Ovis aries: one gene and its partners. The protein of the gene in region 1 interacts with the protein of each later gene in a pairwise test. Links are inferred from orthologs where the notes say so. Each region holds a gene or a part of one and is shown on either strand. Other genes may lie near its edges.

Region 1 (6,414 bases):
TTTAAATAACAGTAATAAAATTACATGTTAACAAAAATTATGTTAACATTTATTAAAATACTTAAGTAACAATAACATTTTTAATGAAAATTACTTTTCCAAAGCATGGGAAAAAAGTGTGGTGAGAAGAGTTACATTGTTTTACATTCTTGAAAATCTCAGTGATGAATTGAATCTTAATAAAGGGCAGAGTCTCATAGTTGCTGCTGCTTCAGTATGTTGTAACTTTTGTTGAAGTTTGTGCCACAAATCAGGCTTCATATACATACGTAGTTGGAAAAGAGAGGAGTCATTTAATAACCTTATGCATGTTGTTTATTAATACTGTACCGTACTGGACAAATTTTAGTATCGTAAAGGTTAGTTGTAGTGTGGAGTCTGAAAACATAATAATGAATTTTGTACTGTTATTAAGATCTATTGCACTGTTTTGTACTTTGCGTGTTTTATCTATGCACGATTTATAACATTGTGTGTTGGTCATTTGGAAAATATTGGTTCACTGAGTTATAACAGACCTTCCAAAGTAGACATATTTCATTATAAACTGTTAGAAACATCACATTTTTAAATATCACCACCAATATGTTTTCCAAAACTCCAGTTTGTGTTTGAAAACTCAGATTTTATCACTGGCAAGAATACTCTTTTGTTTTCCTTGAAGTGACAGGCTCGTTTTGTTCATTTTAGAGAAAAGTCTGCCACATACCTAAGTGTAAATAACCATAGTTATTATTCTTTGATGGTAAAAACAGATGTTCCATGAAAAAATTTACATTTGAAAGCAGTTTATTAGTGCTTTTTCCTATATGCAACCATCATATTTTGATGTGCAGCAGAAGAACTTGGCTAACTTGCTTTTTGTTAGGATAATAAAAAGATAGATACTTAAGGATTAATGTCTAATAAAATTAACTACAACTTTATCAGGGACATGCTTAACTAAAAATGTTTTTTTGAAAAAAATAACTGAGCGTAGCTATAAAGAATACAATGAGTGGTATTTACTGCTACCGTTTATTGTCAGCCAATACCATTGGTGCAAACATCCACACAATGAAGAAAGTCAAATGATGTTTCTGTATTTTTATAAAGATAATTTTGACCTGACAGACCACACTTTGAGAACTTTTGGTTTAGGGAAAAAGACATTTTAGATTCTGAAAAATGAGGAAGATGAGAAATTGTAATAACTGGGAAAGGCTGTCTGAGACTATTCAAGTAAACTTGAGAAAGTTTGTGGAAATTTATTTAAACGTGCTGCGGTGAGGAGGAAGTGTATTCTAGTACCCAGGATAACTTCAATAAAGACTTGAAAGCAAAAATGGTGTTTGAGGGACAACAATGAGGTTGAATTCAGTAGAGCACAGAATTTATAATATGAAATTGAATTAGCTAGATGGGTTTTGCAGATTCTTGGGAGTTAGGAAGTTTGGACCAAGGAATTTAAACTTGAAAAGGTACCTGAAGTGTGGGGGAAGGAGTGTCTGAAATTCTTTACAAAATTTGTGCATGTGGCTCAGTTCATTTTTCTGGTTGTTTCTGATAGATGCTCTTTGTTAAAAGAATTAGAAGATTTAAAATAATTGTTTTTTCTTAAAATGGCGGTGTATAATTTCTCCACATTTTACTTGTTTTTTTGATCAATTTTGTTTTAAACAGTTGAACAGAATGTTTATTCTTTTACACTTACTGTAAGCAACACATTGTTAATGCAGAAAAAGCAAAAGGAGGGGAAAGGATTATAATCTTTCCACCCAGATTAGAAACTGTTAACTTTTTAGTTTGTATGTAGCCTATCATTTGTGTGCATGTTATATACCATTTTTAATGGACATGGCTAGTCAGCATTTGTCATAAGACAGCCAGCATATGCTAGATACTGTGCCACTTGTTACACATTTTGTTAGCATCTTTTTCATTTGTGTATTATTGTCTTTCCATGTCATGACATGATTATTTGTATGGATCCAATTCATCACACTTTAGGATACTTGCCTTTTCTAGTTTTCAAATGTATTTGCTTTAAAAACTTGATATATTCTAAGAAACAAATTTGCCTGTTTTTTGTTTCTTTTAACTTGAGTTTACAAAGTTTGTTTTATTTTCAGTTAAATTGATTTTTTTTCTACTTGTTTCAGTACAGCTATTGGAATCAGATGTAAAGATGGCGTCGTCTTTGGGGTAGAAAAATTAGTCCTGTCTAAACTTTATGAAGAAGGTTCCAACAAACGACTTTTTAATGTTGATCGACATGTTGGAATGGTAAGGTCACATTTAAAAATGTTCCTTTTTGCTTTGTCCTGTTTCTTGTGATGTAATTAATTGGAATATATCAAAATGTAATTATAAGAACCTATTTATGACTTTAGCATTGAGGCAAAAACAGATCAGAGAGCAGCCATAGAAATAATCGGAAAGACTGGTTTGTGAACAGTTCACTGTCTAAAAGAAAGGTGCGTGCATGCATGCTCAGTTGCTCAGTCATGTCCAACTCTTTGTGACTCCATGGACTGTAGCCCACCAAGCTCCTCTGCCCATGGAATTTTCCAGGAAGAATACTGGTGGCATTCTTATAACCCAATTGGAGATACATAGGAAAAACCAAGTTGAAGCAAATGAGGAGGGGAGAGGAGTGAGAAGCTTGGGTAAAAAATCTTGGCAGCATAGATCGCCAATCAAGGCACATGCTTGAGAGGCAATAAGTCTTTAGTTTTTTGTGTCCTTTCTGGGGATAACTGTCACACTGAAGATGTTATCAGAAAGAGAATACCTTCATAGTAAGGTGGAGTATCAGGAAGGGATGTCTGACAAAAGGAAGAGTGAGTACATCCTTTTTAGTAGCTTCATAAGCATCACTATATTTATTTCATGCAGCTGGTATGACATAAATAGATTACTGGGATATACTGAAGTCATTCTGTATAAATATCAGACTTTCTTTAGTAGGTATAATAGTCCGGAAAAAAGAGAAAAGTGATTTTTAACCCTGCTTTCTGAAAAGTCAAGGAAGAAAAGTGAATACGTATTCTGTGTGCTAGGTACTATGCCAGAAGTTCTTTACATAAATTATCTCATGTAATCTTGACAAACCAGTGAAAGTAATATTAATCCCATTTTTACAGATGAGGAAACACTCAACTGGTAACGAAATGTGCTGGGATTCTTACTTGGGTCTCCATGGTCTGTGTGTTACTCTAGAGCCCATTCTTCAGGGTGAGATTCTGTAGGGTCCACTTATTCTGCTGAAGTATTGGTAGCTTCAGCTAGCTTTCAGCTTCTAAATAGCTTATTTAGAAATATGATTAGTATTTCTAAATAAGATGTGTTACACACAACACAGAAAGGACTAGCAAAATATAACCAGTAATCTATAAAGCTACAGATACATTTTTTTTCCTTCAGTTATTTTTCTGAATCTGTTTTCTCTCCTGAACAGATTTATTACTGCCAATGAAGCTGGTATGTTTTCCTGAAACTTGGCCAGATTGTAACCTAACTGATAGAAGGGAATTAGTGAATTCTGCTTTCTTTTACTTAGTAAAAAAGATAGCTTTCGGTAGGTGTATTTTGAAAAAAATCATATATGCTTATAGATAGTTCAGTGGTGGAAAGATTTTCCTAGAATTTTCAAATTTGTCCCATTTGTTATTAAAAACTGATGGCATTCCATGCAACTGGAAATTGGCAAAATATTAGACATTGAAGAAGGTTGGAGGAAAAAAGGATTGATAGTCTGTCTCCACAGTTGTCATCTTCAAGTGATTTGACAAATTACTAAACTTCACAGTGAGTTTTATCCAAAGCAATGGAAGATTATTTAAATCATGAAAATTACTACCTGGGTTACTCTAAACTCCAGTTCCCTCACCTGCAAAACTATGGTGGTAATAGTGCCTGTCCTCATGTGTAATTATGTAAAATGCTTAGCATGTCATGAGTGATCAATAATGGATTAAGGATTTTCATAATCATTACTATTACTAGGTAGCAGTAGAAGAAAAGGCTATTAAAATTTTTTTTATTAAAATTTTTGATAACATTTATTCTGAAAATCTTCTTATGTCAGTGGTTTCCAGTACCTGTAACTGTTTCAACATTTCTGTTTTCATGGCTTCCCTAGACCTAAAGAAATACCCAGTGGTTCTGTGTATTATATATGTAGGTCTAAATAACTGTTTATGTTCTAAAAACTTAGTAGCTATAAAAACAAAACCTCACCATATGACAGTAAAATAAAAATGTTTTTATTTTCAAACAACTACTACTACTAACGTGTACTGTTCAGTGTCTTAAAGTTTGGAATTGGATTAGATGGCTGTGCCCCACCCGACTCTGCTTCCTGTTTCACAGATTTTTGCACAGTGCTTATTTTCTATCACAGCAGCCCCAGCTTCTCAGTGATCCGATGGCATTGAAAGGAATGTGGAATGATCTGATGTTGAAACTGAACTACTTCAATATGTGTTTCCCCCAAAACTTACAGCACCCCACAACTCTGAGTTCACTGTAGTTCCCTGGGATATCTCAGTGTGTGGTTTGGTAATTGCAGCTGTAAGCCACTAGGTTTGTGGTCTGTCATGTTTTGGTTCGGCATTACAGTTCATTGGTACACTGAAAAAGAAAGGAGTTTTGAGGTTATGCCTTTTAAATCAAAACCTTTAATAACTTTTTAAACATAGAATGGCTTTAAATTAAAAACCAGTTGTAACCAAAACCCATGCATGGTTTTATTCTTCTTTGTGGTTGTTTTAGTCTTTATAATGAAGTGGGAAATAGGGAGACATGGAGTTTTTTTTAATGTGGTCATTTGACAAAAGAATGAAGTCACAGTTGGGAAATTTCCAAATTGATATCCCATACTCAAGCATCGAAGTTCCAGGATGCCTTGCAAAGATGGTGGTTTGGTCACTAATTTGTGTCTGATTCTTGCAAAGACCTTTAAGCCTAACTAATTGATTCTAATGATGATGCTTGTTAAAAATATCAAGTAAGCCTGTCACAGTCACGTGCTTTTCCTTCATTTGTGGTAGGAATGGTAATTGGTACTTTTTGTTTTTTCAGGCAGTAGCAGGTTTGTTGGCAGATGCTCGTTCTTTAGCAGACATTGCAAGAGAAGAGGCTTCCAACTTTAGATCTAACTTTGGATATAACATTCCACTAAAAGTAAGTTGGTAACGGTTGAGCCTCTGGAACAGCAAGAGAAGAGTCTTAATAAACTCTTCTGTTTTACCCCCACAGCATCTTGCAGACAGAGTGGCCATGTATGTACACGCGTATACACTCTACAGTGCTGTTAGACCTTTCGGCTGCAGGTATGAAATTTAGTGAGATATTCAGTGATATCTGTACTACAGTTATCTGTTTTCCCAGCATCTTATTAACCTTTTATACCCTTAAGAAATGAACTTTCATCAAGATGTACTTGAACTTTTTTTATTGTATCTATGTGACATGATGGATATTACCTAAACCTGTGGTAATCATTGCATTTCACAGTGTATATAAATCAAACCTTTATGCTGTGCACCTTAAATTTAATGTAGTGATGCATGTCAATTATTTATTAATAAAACTTGGGGGGGGTTCTCTGAAATTCGAATCAGACATTTTCAGGAAGTTGCAAACTGATTTTATTAAAATTTTTTAAAAAATTTTATTTTTGGGTCTTTGTTGTTGTGCAGGCTTTTCTCTAGTTGTGGAGAGCAGGGGCTGCTCTCTAGTTGTGATGCGTGGGCTTCTCACTGTGGTGGCTTCTCTTGTTGCCGAGCACAGGCTATAGGGTGCGTGGCCTTCAACAGCTGTGGCTCCTGGGCTCTAGAGCACAGGTCCCATAGTTGTGGTGCATGGGCTCAGTTGCTCCGCAGTATGTGAGATCTTCCCAGATAAGGGATCGAGCCTGTGTGTCCTGCACTGGTAGGCAGACTCTTCACCACTGAGCCACCAGGGAAGCCCCCCAAACTGATTTTAAATAGAGTTCATTTGTTGTTATTACGTAGTCAACTGTACTGACATCTTAGTTTTTTCATTAGTTTCCGTCTTATCTTGTGTAAGCAACAGGTAAAATGCTCTTAAATGGGAATTGGTTGTTATGGTATTCTGCACATGAAGTAGTAATATAAGATGAGGCTGGTTTCTATTTATAATTTCCAAAGAATCAGTAATTCATATGATTGTTCAGTACCCTAATTTTAATTTTGTTGCACATAAAAAATGCATTGAATCAATTTGGATTATTGCAGGAAAATAATTGGAGGAATATTCGGGAATAGCCAAGAAAGAATGAAGGGTGGAACAAGAGCTTGAGGTAGCTTCAGTGTGTTCATAGCAAGAATTTTGTTCCCTTGGCTTTTTCATGTTTATGCCTTTAGCTCTTGGGCCCTCGTGTTATGTCTGTGTATCAGTACTCCTTTC
Region 2 (4,926 bases), on another chromosome or scaffold:
AGTGCTCCAGGACAATTAGAATAGCCTTCACTTTCCCTAAAGCCTGTTGTTGCAAAGCGGTAAATACTGAGATTTGCTGAACACTCAAGGCCCCAAGGATCTTATCTGAGCCTTAACAGACCAAGCTTAGGGAACTGTGAGAATACCTCTGTTCTGAAGCTCCTTGAATTGTGGGTGTTCATTACCCCAGCCTCTACTGCCCTTTGGGGTAGGGGGCTAGGTAAATGAGTGGTGTTATGGACAAGACTGAGTAGCAAAATTGTGGCCTCATTGTTCCTCTTTGAACTGGGGATGGGGTGGGGTAGGTGGGTGGCTTTATAGCAAGCCCTGAAATGCTGCTTGTAGCGCATTCCAACCCGGTCACTGGGATAAAGGCACCCTCAGAGCTCCCCTCTGGTCCTTCTCAGGCTCAGCCTGGCCTGAACACCCTGCCCCAGAGAGTTCTCCGGAAGGAGGCTGTCATCCCATCGGCGCTTGTCCTCATGAGTCGCTCCAATGCCCAGCCCACAGGTAAACTAGCACAAAGGGAGGGGACTGACCTGAGGGAACTAGGGTCTGCAGAGGGTGGGTGGGGATGAAAATGTCAAAGGATGGCCTCAACTTCCCTGTTCTTTCCTTAGCTGCCCCTGGCCAGAAGGTGGTGGAGAACAGCAGTGGGACCCTCAACATCCCAAAGTAAGCTCCCCAAGCTTTGAGGTAGCAAGGGACGGGGTGGAATAAAGGCAGGAGGAGGAGGGATGCAGGTGAGAAAGCCTGATCCATCCTCAGCTCCCCTGGAAGAGAAGCAGGATTGCAGGCAGGAGGGGCAGAGGTCCAGAAAGAAGGCAAACACCTCAGAGGACCAACTAACCACTGCTCAGCTGCTCCACCACTGCTTCCCAAACAGGCGTTCCTTCACAATCGATGACTTTGAGATTGGGCGTCCTCTGGGCAAAGGCAAGTTTGGAAATGTGTACTTGGCTCGGGAGAAGAAAAGCCATTTCATCGTGGCACTCAAAGTCCTCTTCAAGTCTCAGATCGAGAAGGAGGGTGTGGAGCACCAGCTGCGTAGAGAGATCGAAATCCAAGCCCATCTCCAGTACGCTCAACGTCCCCTGAGCCAGAGCCCCTGCCGCCCCAACCCCACTCCTCCTCCAACCCCACCACATCTAGACTGTCTTCTCTGTAGCTGTGGCCACGCAGCCCCAATGAGCTCTCAATCCCAGCCAGAGCCTTGAATCCAGAAAATCACCTCCGGTCCCCAATTAGGACTGCCAACTGGCTTCCCCTACCTGGCCCAGACCTGACCCAGTTTGCCCCAATGCGACCTGTCATCTTTCCCATTTCCTTAGGCCAGAATGCAGCCTGATGCCTCCTCTGTCTCCTCTCCCAGACATCCCAACATCTTGCGTCTCTACAACTATTTCTATGACCGGCGAAGGATCTACTTGATTCTGGAGTATGCCCCCCAGGGGGAGCTCTACAAGGAGCTGCAGAAGAGCCGAACTTTTGATGAGCAGCGAACAGCCACGGTCGGGGCGGGTGGGCACCTGGGGCACTGGCAGGGGCCTGGAGGCTGGGGGATGCCATTTGCCGCCTGAGGTCAGTCCTCTTCTGACTGTCTGCCATTGGCCCCCCAGATCATGGAGGAGCTGGCAGATGCTCTGACGTACTGCCATGCAAAGAAGGTGATTCACAGAGACATCAAGCCAGAGAATCTGCTCTTGGGGCTCCGGGGTGAGCTGAAGATTGCTGACTTTGGCTGGTCGGTGCATGCCCCCTCCCTGAGGTATGGTGGGCCAGAAGGCCAGCCCTGGGTATGAAGCCATTCAAAATAAAACCACTTCAGATCTTGTTACCCAGAGACATTTTGGGTTGTTCTCATGTAAATATATAGACACAGCAATATCTTTACAAAAATAGGAGACTTTGGGAGTTCCCTGCTGGTCCAGTGGTTAGGACTCCAGCTTTCACTGCAGGGGGCCCAGGTTCAATCCCTGGTCGAGGGAACTAAGATCCTGCAAACCGTGCAGCGTGGCCAAAAACAAAAATAGGAGTCTCAGTTTTGTCACTCAGATTTCTCACTTGAAACAATGGGACCTTCTTGCCATATCACTGAGAATACTCCCACATCATTTTTAGTGGCTTCATAGTATTGCACAGTAGAAATGTAATGTGATTAAGCAACATGTGATTGATGAACATCTGAAATTCTTCCTATAATTCTAAGGTGAACGTTGCCCTCATATCTGATTTATTTTAAGGTACGGCCCTCAGTGTGGAAATGCAGAGTCAGTGTGCTAGCCCCACTCCTACCCCAAAGACCCCATCAGAGCCTGGTTGGAAGACCCCTGGCACATCCTGTGGTCGGTCTGGGCTCCCTGTCAGGCTGCAGGGAAAGGAGGGAAAGTCTGGATCTGAGATCCCTGCCCACTCCCCCTCTTCCCCCGCCCCACCCCAGGAGGAAGACAATGTGCGGCACTCTGGACTACCTGCCCCCAGAGATGATTGAGGGGCGCACGCACAATGAGAAGGTGGACCTGTGGTGCATCGGCGTGCTTTGCTACGAGCTGCTGGTGGGAAACCCGCCCTTCGAGAGTGCTTCCCACAATGAGACGTACCGGCGCATTGTCAAGGTGGGAGGCTGGCCCCCGGGGTCTGGCTGGAGTTTGTGCCAGCTCAGGGGCTGGGGCAGGGAGTGGGCACACTGTTGCTGTTGATGTTAAACCCTGCTAATAGAGTGGGAAGTGGAGGCAAAAGCAGCTAGGATGAAGCCTGTCTCTCCTTCTTGCAGGTGGACCTAAAGTTCCCTCCTTCTGTGCCCATGGGAGCCCAGGACCTCATCTCCAAGCTGCTCAAGCATAACCCCTCAGAACGCCTGCCGCTGGCCCAGGTCTCTGCCCACCCTTGGGTCCGAGCCCACTCTCGCAGGGTGCTGCCTCCCTCTGCCCCTCAGTCTGTCCCCTGAAATGTCCCTGTCCTTTTCTCAGTTGTGTCTGTGTCTGTATATGTGTAGCCAGGAGGAGGGGGGTCCCAAGTCTGTTTCTGCATCTGTCTTCTACCTCCTCTTTATTTAATAAAGGCTGAAGCTTTTTGTACTGATGAGTGTAGATGTTTACATGTGGAGACTGCTGTGAAGGAAGTCATCACCCATGGGGAGGAGGCGAGGGAGTTGCCCATGCTGGGCAGTGGGGTGGGCACTGCATCATCACCCCTGGGAACACCCCTCAGCACTGAGAGCAACCTCTCAGCTCTAACCTCATCTGGTCAGCTCCCAACCATCCTACTTCCACATCTTTCCTTTCCCCTGCTCTGGCTCCCAGGCCTGGGGATGCTGGGGACCTGGCTCTACTCTGCTATGCCTGCACATCAGCCATCACCAACCATCTCCACCCACCTTCTATTACTCCCTCTTAGTTGACCTCTAATCTTTCCCTTTCCTGGGTCAGTCTTGCTGACCTAGGAGCAATTAAAGTTGTCTTCTTGTTTTGTTTTTCTGCTCTGGTGAGGATTTAGCACAGGAGTAAATAGAAGCTGATGGTGTCTTGTTCCTGACCTATGGGAAACTTGTTCCCATAGTTTCACTGCTATGTATGATGCTTGCAATATGGTGCCTCCTATAGGTTTTGTTCTTTTGTTTTGGCCACCCAGAGCAGCATGCACGATCTTGAGTTTCCCTGACCAGGGACAAACCCATTCCCCTTGCAGTGGAAGCTTGGAGTCCTAACCACTGGACTGTCAGGGAAATCTCTTGCTATAAGTTCTTGATACATGTCTTTTATTAGGTTAAGGAAGGCCTGGGCTCTTCCTAGTTCATTAAGGGTTGGGTGTTTTTTGAAGCATGAATAGGTGTTGAGTTTCACCTAGTGCTTTTTCTGCATGTTTATTTTTTGTACTCTTAAGCCATGTGGTGTAGAACATCAATAAAGTTTCTTATTTTTATTTCATCTCAGATACTCGGGCTATATTCAATTCCTAGGGCTACTGTAACAAATTACCACAAACCTGGGTGGTTTTAAACAGCAGAAATGGATTCTCTGACAGTTCTGGAGGCCAGAAGTCCATGATCAAGGTGTCAGTAGCACCACCTTCCCATATATGCCTCTAGGGGAAAATCCTTCCTTGCCTTTTCCATCTTCATGTGACTCCAGGCACTTCATGGCTTGTGGCTACATCACTCCAAGCTCTGCTTCTGTCTTCACACAGCCTTCCTTTCTTTGCCTTTCTCTCCTCTGTCTTAAAAGAACACTAGCAATTTGATTTATGGCTCACCTAGATAATCCAGGATAATGTTATTCACAATCTGTAATTATATCTGCAAAGACCCTTTTTCCAAAAAACACTGCATTCATTGCTTCCAGAGGTTAAGACACTGACATATCTTTTAGGGGGCTACCATGCAACCCACTACATATGCGCACAGATTAAAATAATTGAAGGACAGTATAGGGCTTAAGAAAACGAAAAACCAACAGTCTTCCCATTTCTCTCTCCCCAGAGACAAATCCTTTTACAGTTTTGCTTTGTTTTTGGTATTTACTTTGTATCTCCAAATCACATGCTTCTGTCACTACCTCTTTACATTTTCAGTTTTAGGCTTTATCTATCATTTTCCTGATACAAAATGTAAGTATTTCATTCTTTCACTCCACTGCCACCAGAAACAAGGGCGTTTTCTGTCCCTACATCCTTCTGGTGTAGTTATAATTTTGGTTAAGATTTATTCATCTGACAATAGTTACTGAGTGCTCTCTGCAGCCCAGGTACTGTTCTAGAGGCTGAGGGGTGAATAAACGAGAAAAAAAAATCCTCAACTCAGGAAGCTTGCAAAAAGTGGTTGCAGTTGTAAACAGATTGTAAGGGGAGGCCTCACTAAAAAGATGTTTGAAAAACTACTTGAAGGAGGAAAAAGGTGAACATTTTTCTTTGTAGTTGTTCAGTCACTAA
Region 3 (6,414 bases), on another chromosome or scaffold:
CCAGGGGATCTTCCTGACTCAGGGATGAATGACAAGGGCCTAGTACAGAGAATAAGTGCTCAGTGAGTGTCAGTTACTAGGTTTATAAATGCATGAGTGGGAAAACAGAGCAGTCCCCATGCTTTAAGGAACATACACTCCAGATCATTCATCCTTCTGTACGTGTTTTTTAACAAATAGTTCCTGAGCATTTGCTATTTGCCAGGCACTGTGTTGGGCCTGGCATGAAAAATACATGGTTTCTTTATCAGAGTGAGTCTCTCCGTCCATCACTTGCATGACCCATGTAACCTGAAAGCCTGGAAGGAACTCGCAAACCTGGCCTATCCACTAGGGATTCCTGCTTATTGCTCCCCAAAGTAGGAAAGAAGGCCCTGTGGCCCCTCCTTAGGCGCTTTCACAAGAGCAGGTCTGCCAACAGCATCTCCCCAAACTGCAGAAGTTGTCTGGACAGAAGGCAAACATTCCCTTGGAGGCCACTCTCTAGGGGCAGGCCCTGCTAGGAAGTATGTGGACTATGGGGTCAGCCAGGCCTGGGTTCAAATCCCAGCTCTGCTAATTACCAGTTGTATGACCTCAGGCAAGTCACTTAACCTCTCTGAAGCTCAGTTTCCTCATCTGAGAAATGAGACTGAGGATGGGACCTTGAACCATCTCACAGATGCATCATGAGAACTAATTAAGAGGATAGACACAAACAGATTCTGTAAACTCTCAGGCGTGTTAAGAACTCAGCCCCAAACCAGAACCGATGGTGGCCCCTGGGACCCAGAGTAGGGAAGGGCAGCCTGCTCTCATCAGAAGGTTCCAGAACATAGGAGCAAGGCACAGGGGGAGGAAAACAGAATCCCAGGGGGATGGGCTGGGAAGGGGCACAGGAATCTGGAGAGAGGAAAGGATGGGATGGATAAAGGGCCAGGAGCGGCTCTTCCTCAACGAAGGACAGAAAATACAGACCACAGTCCCTTTGCCACCCCTATTCCTCCAGGCAGGAAAGACCTGGAAGCCAAGGGTCCAGCCCGCTCCCTGCCCAGCGCCCCCCAAGCCTGTTTCCACAACTCCCTCTCACCGCTGAGTTGAATCTCAGGTGACAGATGTTACAGGAAATGAAGAGCTTCTTCTTCAGGGGAGAGGGGACCCCAAATGTGTGGCTGATGACAGCTTTCTGGACCGGGTCCATCTGTGGAGGGGGTGGGAGGGCATAGTAACTGTGGGGTCAGCTAAGTAAGGTGAAAGGGCAGTGCCAAATGCCCAAAACTAAAGTCTATGCAGGAGGGCAGTGGTCAGCCCATAGGAAGAAATTTCCTATGTCTGTGGATATTAAACACTGAAAAAGAAAAGCCTCTTCCCTGGCTGACTCTCTTAGACGGCCTAGGCTTGTGCTTGGAGGCAGGGGGATGGCCACGTGACTTTTGCGATCTTGAGAAACACAACCAGGGCCTGGTGATCACACTGGCTTCCCTTGCTGCCCTTCCAGTCTCTTTTTTTCCTCCTTCATGAGAATCACATCTACGTGTGCAGAGAGTTGAGGGCAGGGAGAAGCGGAGAAGGGAATTTGGAATTTCCTCCCCCATAACCCAGCCTTGTGCTGGGCCTGTGGGCTGGGGGAGAGAAAGCTTACCATATCAGCTTTGCCGCTGTCACAGGGCCTGAGAGTGAGAGCCGCAGCCCAGGGGCAGTGGGGGACCAGGCTGGGGGCAGGGAGCAGGATTAGCAGATGGAAGCCAGAGGGTTCCCTGAATAGTAGGGTCATTTCCCTGGAATATGAATTTGTATTTTTTTTCTTTTCCTTGTTTTAAATAATTTCTGTTTCTTCTATCAAACCAAGTCTTTATGTTCCCTTTTCTCAAAGGCTGGGTTGTTGTGTCAAAAGCAGAAGTCGTTGGGGGCTTACTTGTCAAGAAGAACTTTCCAAACCTTCCTGAGAGAGAAGAACACAGGCTTTGAGAGAAGAGCATGGTTTCAGAAACTTCCCTGAGACCAGAAAGAGGTTCTAACCCTCACAGCACCCAGGGCCAGGGGCTGAGGTGGGTGGGTGGCGGGACGGGACAGGATTTCAGGGGAGAATGGCCTGCAGGGCCCCCCGTGATGAGAACAACAGCAGATTGACCCCCTCGTAGGGACCATGTGCCTGAACAATGAGCATGTCAGCAAGTGACAGTGGGGACTACAAACCAGAGGACCCCCCCCCCAAGTTGTCTTGGGCTCCTTAGGATCTTTGAACAACCCTGGAGGGTGAGAAGGAAGGGGCTTCCAAGGGTGATTAGATAGAGCTTCCCACCATATTGTCAGGATGGGGGGAGGCTCATCAATGATTACATTTGATTTTTCAAAAAAATTTTTAAAAGGGTCGTATACCTTATAGCTCATATAGTGAAGTAAATTTCAGATTTACACACATACATGGAAATACTAGTACACAGACTAGTAGGCAGACACACAGCACATAAACGTACAGGTAGTTACAAATCACAGAAACAAGCAGAAAGATACACACGCACCTGCACACCAATGGCACACATCCAAACCATATGAAAACATACACGCAGAGGCCAGACACACACCAAACACATACACAGTCGACACACAAAAACTCAGATACCCAGGCACATACACTACATACAGACAGCTACACAGGCATAAAGCGTTCACAAGCACACGTGCACAAACTCACACCCGTAAATACACACAAAGTCCTACAGAGACAAACTAAAACAGAAAGGCACGCAGACATACACAGATCGTCCACAGGTGCCCCTTTATGAACACTCGATGAAACCTGCAGCTCACAGGCCCTCCAGGCTCAGCACCAGTTGCTAGGGGAGAGGACAGTAGCATCCCGGATATTCTGGCCTAAGCAGGAGCTGGGCCCCATTTTGGGAGCACCTGGTCACTCGGAGGGATGTTGCTCCTGGTTGGACCCAGCTTCTAAGAGCCGGCCCCTGGGAGCCCACCTTCCCAGCCCACCCCCATGCTGGGTTGCACTCCCACCACCCGCCCACCCAGCCCGTACCGTGCTGAAGTTGGGGAAGAGACTGAGCGGGGTGGCGCCATTGAAGTGGAAGGTGAGCAAGTGCTTGAAGTCCAGCGGGGGCTGCAGAGGCCTGGCGGGCAGGGCCAGGGAGGCCAGCAGCGGGCTGGGGGCTCCGGAGGCCGGGCCTCCTGCAGGAGGAAGAAGGGCAGGGTCTGAAACAGGGAGTTACAGGGCTCGCTCCTCCCTCCACAGCCAGAACAAGAGGTTGATGGGCTTCTTGGCTGTGGAGCCAGGGCGGAAACTCCCATCTCCACAAAGCAGCGCTGGCTAAACCCAGGGTGATTACAGCCCATTTCTGCGCCTCTCCCCTGCACCACAGGGGAAGGGGAAGCAGAGGGCCCACAGTTCTAGGCTCCCAGCCCAGAAGGATGACCACCTCCCCCACAGGGGCAGCATTATGGCCCCACTGAACCCCAGAGGGGAGTCGGGGTGGGCCCCTGACACACACACCACCATGGAGACTGCACGATGCACTGGGTTTCCACTTTATTGCAAATTAAACCCAAGCCTAGGAGACTTGGAAAGGCCAGCCCCATCCCCTCTCACTAACTACTCCCCTCCAGATCCCCCACAACACTCACAGCAAGGACTGACAGAGGGGATAGGAAACCCCCCAGAATCTGAAGGGATGTGTTCCCCAACTCCGATGAGGCCCAACTGCTCTCCACTGGAGACAAAAGCCCTCCAACACCCCTGGGTCAGGCCTGAGCCTGGTCCTTGGGTTCAACCAGTCCAGCACTGTGGTTTATACAGTCTTTGGTCTTAAAGGTCTGAGGCAGGGGCCTGGGTTCAATCCCTGGTCAGGGAACTAAAATCTCAGCACTGCTAAAAAAAAAAAAAAAGAGAGAGAGAGAGAGATCTGAGGCAAGGATCGGGAAAGGTTAGGAACTTGGAGAACAGCCAGACTTTGAGGAAGAAAAAAATTGGAAATAAATTCAGCCCATTTGGGACTTTTGTGAACCCTGTTGTTGCAAAAGCAAAAGAAGTCCTTTTCGATTTTGTGTGTTAACACCAGGGAGGCTAGGATAGATTTATTTCACATTGATACGTATGTATGTCTATGTGAAGTTGCTTCAGTCTAGTCCGACTCTTTGCCACCCTATGGACTCCCAGGCTCCTCTGTCCGTGGGATTTTCCAGGCAAGAATACTGGAGCGGATGTCTACGTACAGCCAAGTACAGAAAAGTCTCAGGCAGCCTGTTGGTGGAGAGGGCACCTCTTACTTCCCTTGAGCTTTTTCACAGAGAGGGTGCTCTGCTGTGTCAAAAATAAAGACAGTCATTTTTTCCCCCAGTCATATCTGAAGAGAAGATATGTTGCTAGGAGCAGGGCTAACAGTCAAGGACCCAGTCTCCTGGCCTTCAACCCCTCAACTGCGGAGGCTCTGTCTTCCTCCTTCCAACCAAGACCCCTCAGCTTTTCCAGAGAGAAAATTTGAGTGGAGTTCCGAGGGAACAGAGTGAACTACTTCCCACAGAACCGGAAAGGTCAGGAGTGACATTTAGGGTGCCCGAAACCCTAGCACCTCTGCCCACGGGCCCAGGCCCCCACTAGCACCCCCGACCCAGCCCCTCTTCCACATCCCACTGAGCCGGGTTAGTACTCAGCGTGGAGCCGAGGAAGCCCGGGGAAGGTGGGTGGGAGGCCACAGTTAGGAGGTAATCTTGCTAGGTCAAGTCTGGCTTGGCCCTTAGTGAGTCCAGGGCCCCAGACTGGCTGGACAGAGGAGAGGAGGCCGCTCTCAGGTGAGCTGCGAGCCCAGGAGGCCCTCGCCCCACCCGCTCTCTAGGAACTCCACCGCCAGCGCAAAGTCAAACTCGTGCAGCGGCGGCCCATCTACCGCGATCTTCACCGCGGGGCCGCCCCGTCCTTCCCCTGCCCCGCCCGGCCCCCACCACCGCAGCTCCCGGCTGCGGCCGACCTTGTCCAGGAGGCCGGCGCCTGCAGGCAGCGCCAAGGCCAGTGCGGCCAGGGCGGCGAAGTCGGGGAAGAGCTCGTGCAGTTCTGAGCGCGCGCACGCCAGCTTGGTGCACAGGGCCCGCGGGCCCAGCCGCCCCAGGCTGCACACCACGCGCTTGAAGAGTGCGAAGTCGCCCAGCGCCCTCTGGCGCACCACAGCGGGGGCGAAGGCGCGCAGCAGGACGCGGAGTGCCCCCTCCCCGTGCGCGCCCAGCTCCTCGGGGGCCTGCGGGTAGCGGCGGGGGTCGAAGATGGCCGCGAAGGCGGCCACGGCGTCCAGCGAGGGCCCAGGGTAAGAGTCCCGCAGCCCCCTCCGCATGGAGTCCAGGAAGGCTCCCCGCAGCCGCTCCAAGCCCTGGACCGCAGTCTCAGAGTAGCCCACCAGCTCCACGCCGCGGTAGGTGCAGCGGCCACAGCCCAAATCGGGGCTAGAGGATGCCAGTTCCTGCAGGAAGCCCTGGAGGCGCGCCCCACCTGAACTGCACTGTGCGTGGAGGGAGGCTGTAGCTGCCATCACCAGAGGCTGCAGCAAGGCCAAATCCGGCTCTTCTGGCTGCAGGACAAGGGCCAGCTTCTGCACGGAGGGCAGAACATCCAGCAGGAGGTGGGTGAAGGCCACGAAGGTGAACTGGCGCAGGGCGAGGGCCAGCGCCCTTGTGGTAGGCGAGGCTGGGGCAGAGGCCTCCAGTGTGAGCACCAGGCAAGGCCAAGCCTCAGCCACAGCTTCCACCACAGGCAGCAGGGAGGCCCAGGGCACTGGCCGTGGTCCTGCCAAGTCAATAGCTGCAAGGTCCAGTGCCGCCCTGAGTTCAGGGACCACGTGAGAACTGGGGCCGCCGTGCAGGCGGAATAGGGCATCCAGTACACTTTCATATTCACCTAGGTAGGCAGGGGGCTTGGGGTCTGTCCGGCCAGGGAGGCAGTGTAACTCCGTGAGCAGTGGGCAGGCGGCCTGGAGCTGTGGGCGCACCCTCCCCAGGCGGTCACTGGGGAGGCTTGAGCTGAGCCAGGCCAGCTTGGATGCAGACACGCCAAAAGCCTGCAGGATGTCCAGGACTTGGCCAGCGGTGGCCTCGCCTTCCTGTAGCTCCACACTGCCCAGAAAGGTGGTGGCAGGCTGGCCATCGCAGGGGGACACTGAAGTGACAAACAAGGCCAGACGGTGGGACTCAGGCCAGTCCTTGGTCTCATCCAACACCAGGCCCACATACGGGGATGCCTTCAGGCGCTGACGGGCCTCTGTGTGCAAGACACTGGCGATAGCCACCTGGGACAGCCAGGGAGAGAAAAAGAGAGGACAGGGTTAGGCTTGTCCTGAGAAGGGGAGGCAGACGGGATGGGGTGAAAGAGCACAGGCCTGCGGTTGGACAGTCTCGAGGACTAATCCTAGCTTAGTCACTTACTGGCTGTGTGACTTTAGG

Evidence for each region.
Region 2: the proteins of PSMA3 (region 1) and AURKB interact in a two-hybrid assay, tested with the Homo sapiens proteins (2 studies listed by BioGRID and IntAct). The link is inferred for Ovis aries from reciprocal best matches to the Homo sapiens genes PSMA3 and AURKB.
Region 3: the proteins of PSMA3 (region 1) and ZNF385C interact in a two-hybrid assay, tested with the Homo sapiens proteins (2 studies listed by BioGRID). The two-hybrid records come from large-scale screens. The link is inferred for Ovis aries from reciprocal best matches to the Homo sapiens genes PSMA3 and ZNF385C.

The regions. Positions count from the first base shown.
Region 1 is NC_056060.1:68,613,382-68,619,795, forward strand, and holds part of PSMA3 (proteasome subunit alpha type-3), read left to right. Parts: intron 1-2,141; coding exon 2,142-2,265; intron 2,266-5,064; coding exon 5,065-5,166; intron 5,167-5,241; coding exon 5,242-5,315; intron 5,316-6,414. UniProt on the Homo sapiens protein: Component of the 20S core proteasome complex involved in the proteolytic degradation of most intracellular proteins. This complex plays numerous essential roles within the cell by associating with different regulatory particles.
Region 2 is NC_056064.1:27,651,238-27,656,163, reverse strand, and holds the end of AURKB (aurora kinase B), read left to right. Parts: exon of another isoform or gene 1-407; coding exon 408-510; exon of another isoform or gene 511-620; coding exon 621-675; exon of another isoform or gene 676-886; coding exon 887-1,078; exon of another isoform or gene 1,079-1,372; coding exon 1,373-1,511; coding exon of another isoform or gene 1,512-1,521; exon of another isoform or gene 1,522-1,619; coding exon 1,620-1,768; exon of another isoform or gene 1,769-2,440; coding exon 2,441-2,615; exon of another isoform or gene 2,616-2,773; coding exon 2,774-2,947; 3' UTR 2,948-3,081; downstream 3,082-4,926. UniProt on the Homo sapiens protein: Serine/threonine-protein kinase component of the chromosomal passenger complex (CPC), a complex that acts as a key regulator of mitosis.
Region 3 is NC_056064.1:41,917,335-41,923,748, forward strand, and holds part of ZNF385C (zinc finger protein 385C), read right to left. Parts: intron 6,261-6,414; coding exon of another isoform or gene 4,776-6,260; exon of another isoform or gene 3,504-4,775; intron 3,163-3,503; coding exon 3,014-3,162; intron 1,181-3,013; coding exon 1,070-1,180; intron 1-1,069. Other genes in the region: C11H17orf113 (uncharacterized protein C17orf113 homolog), read right to left, coding at 4,776-6,260.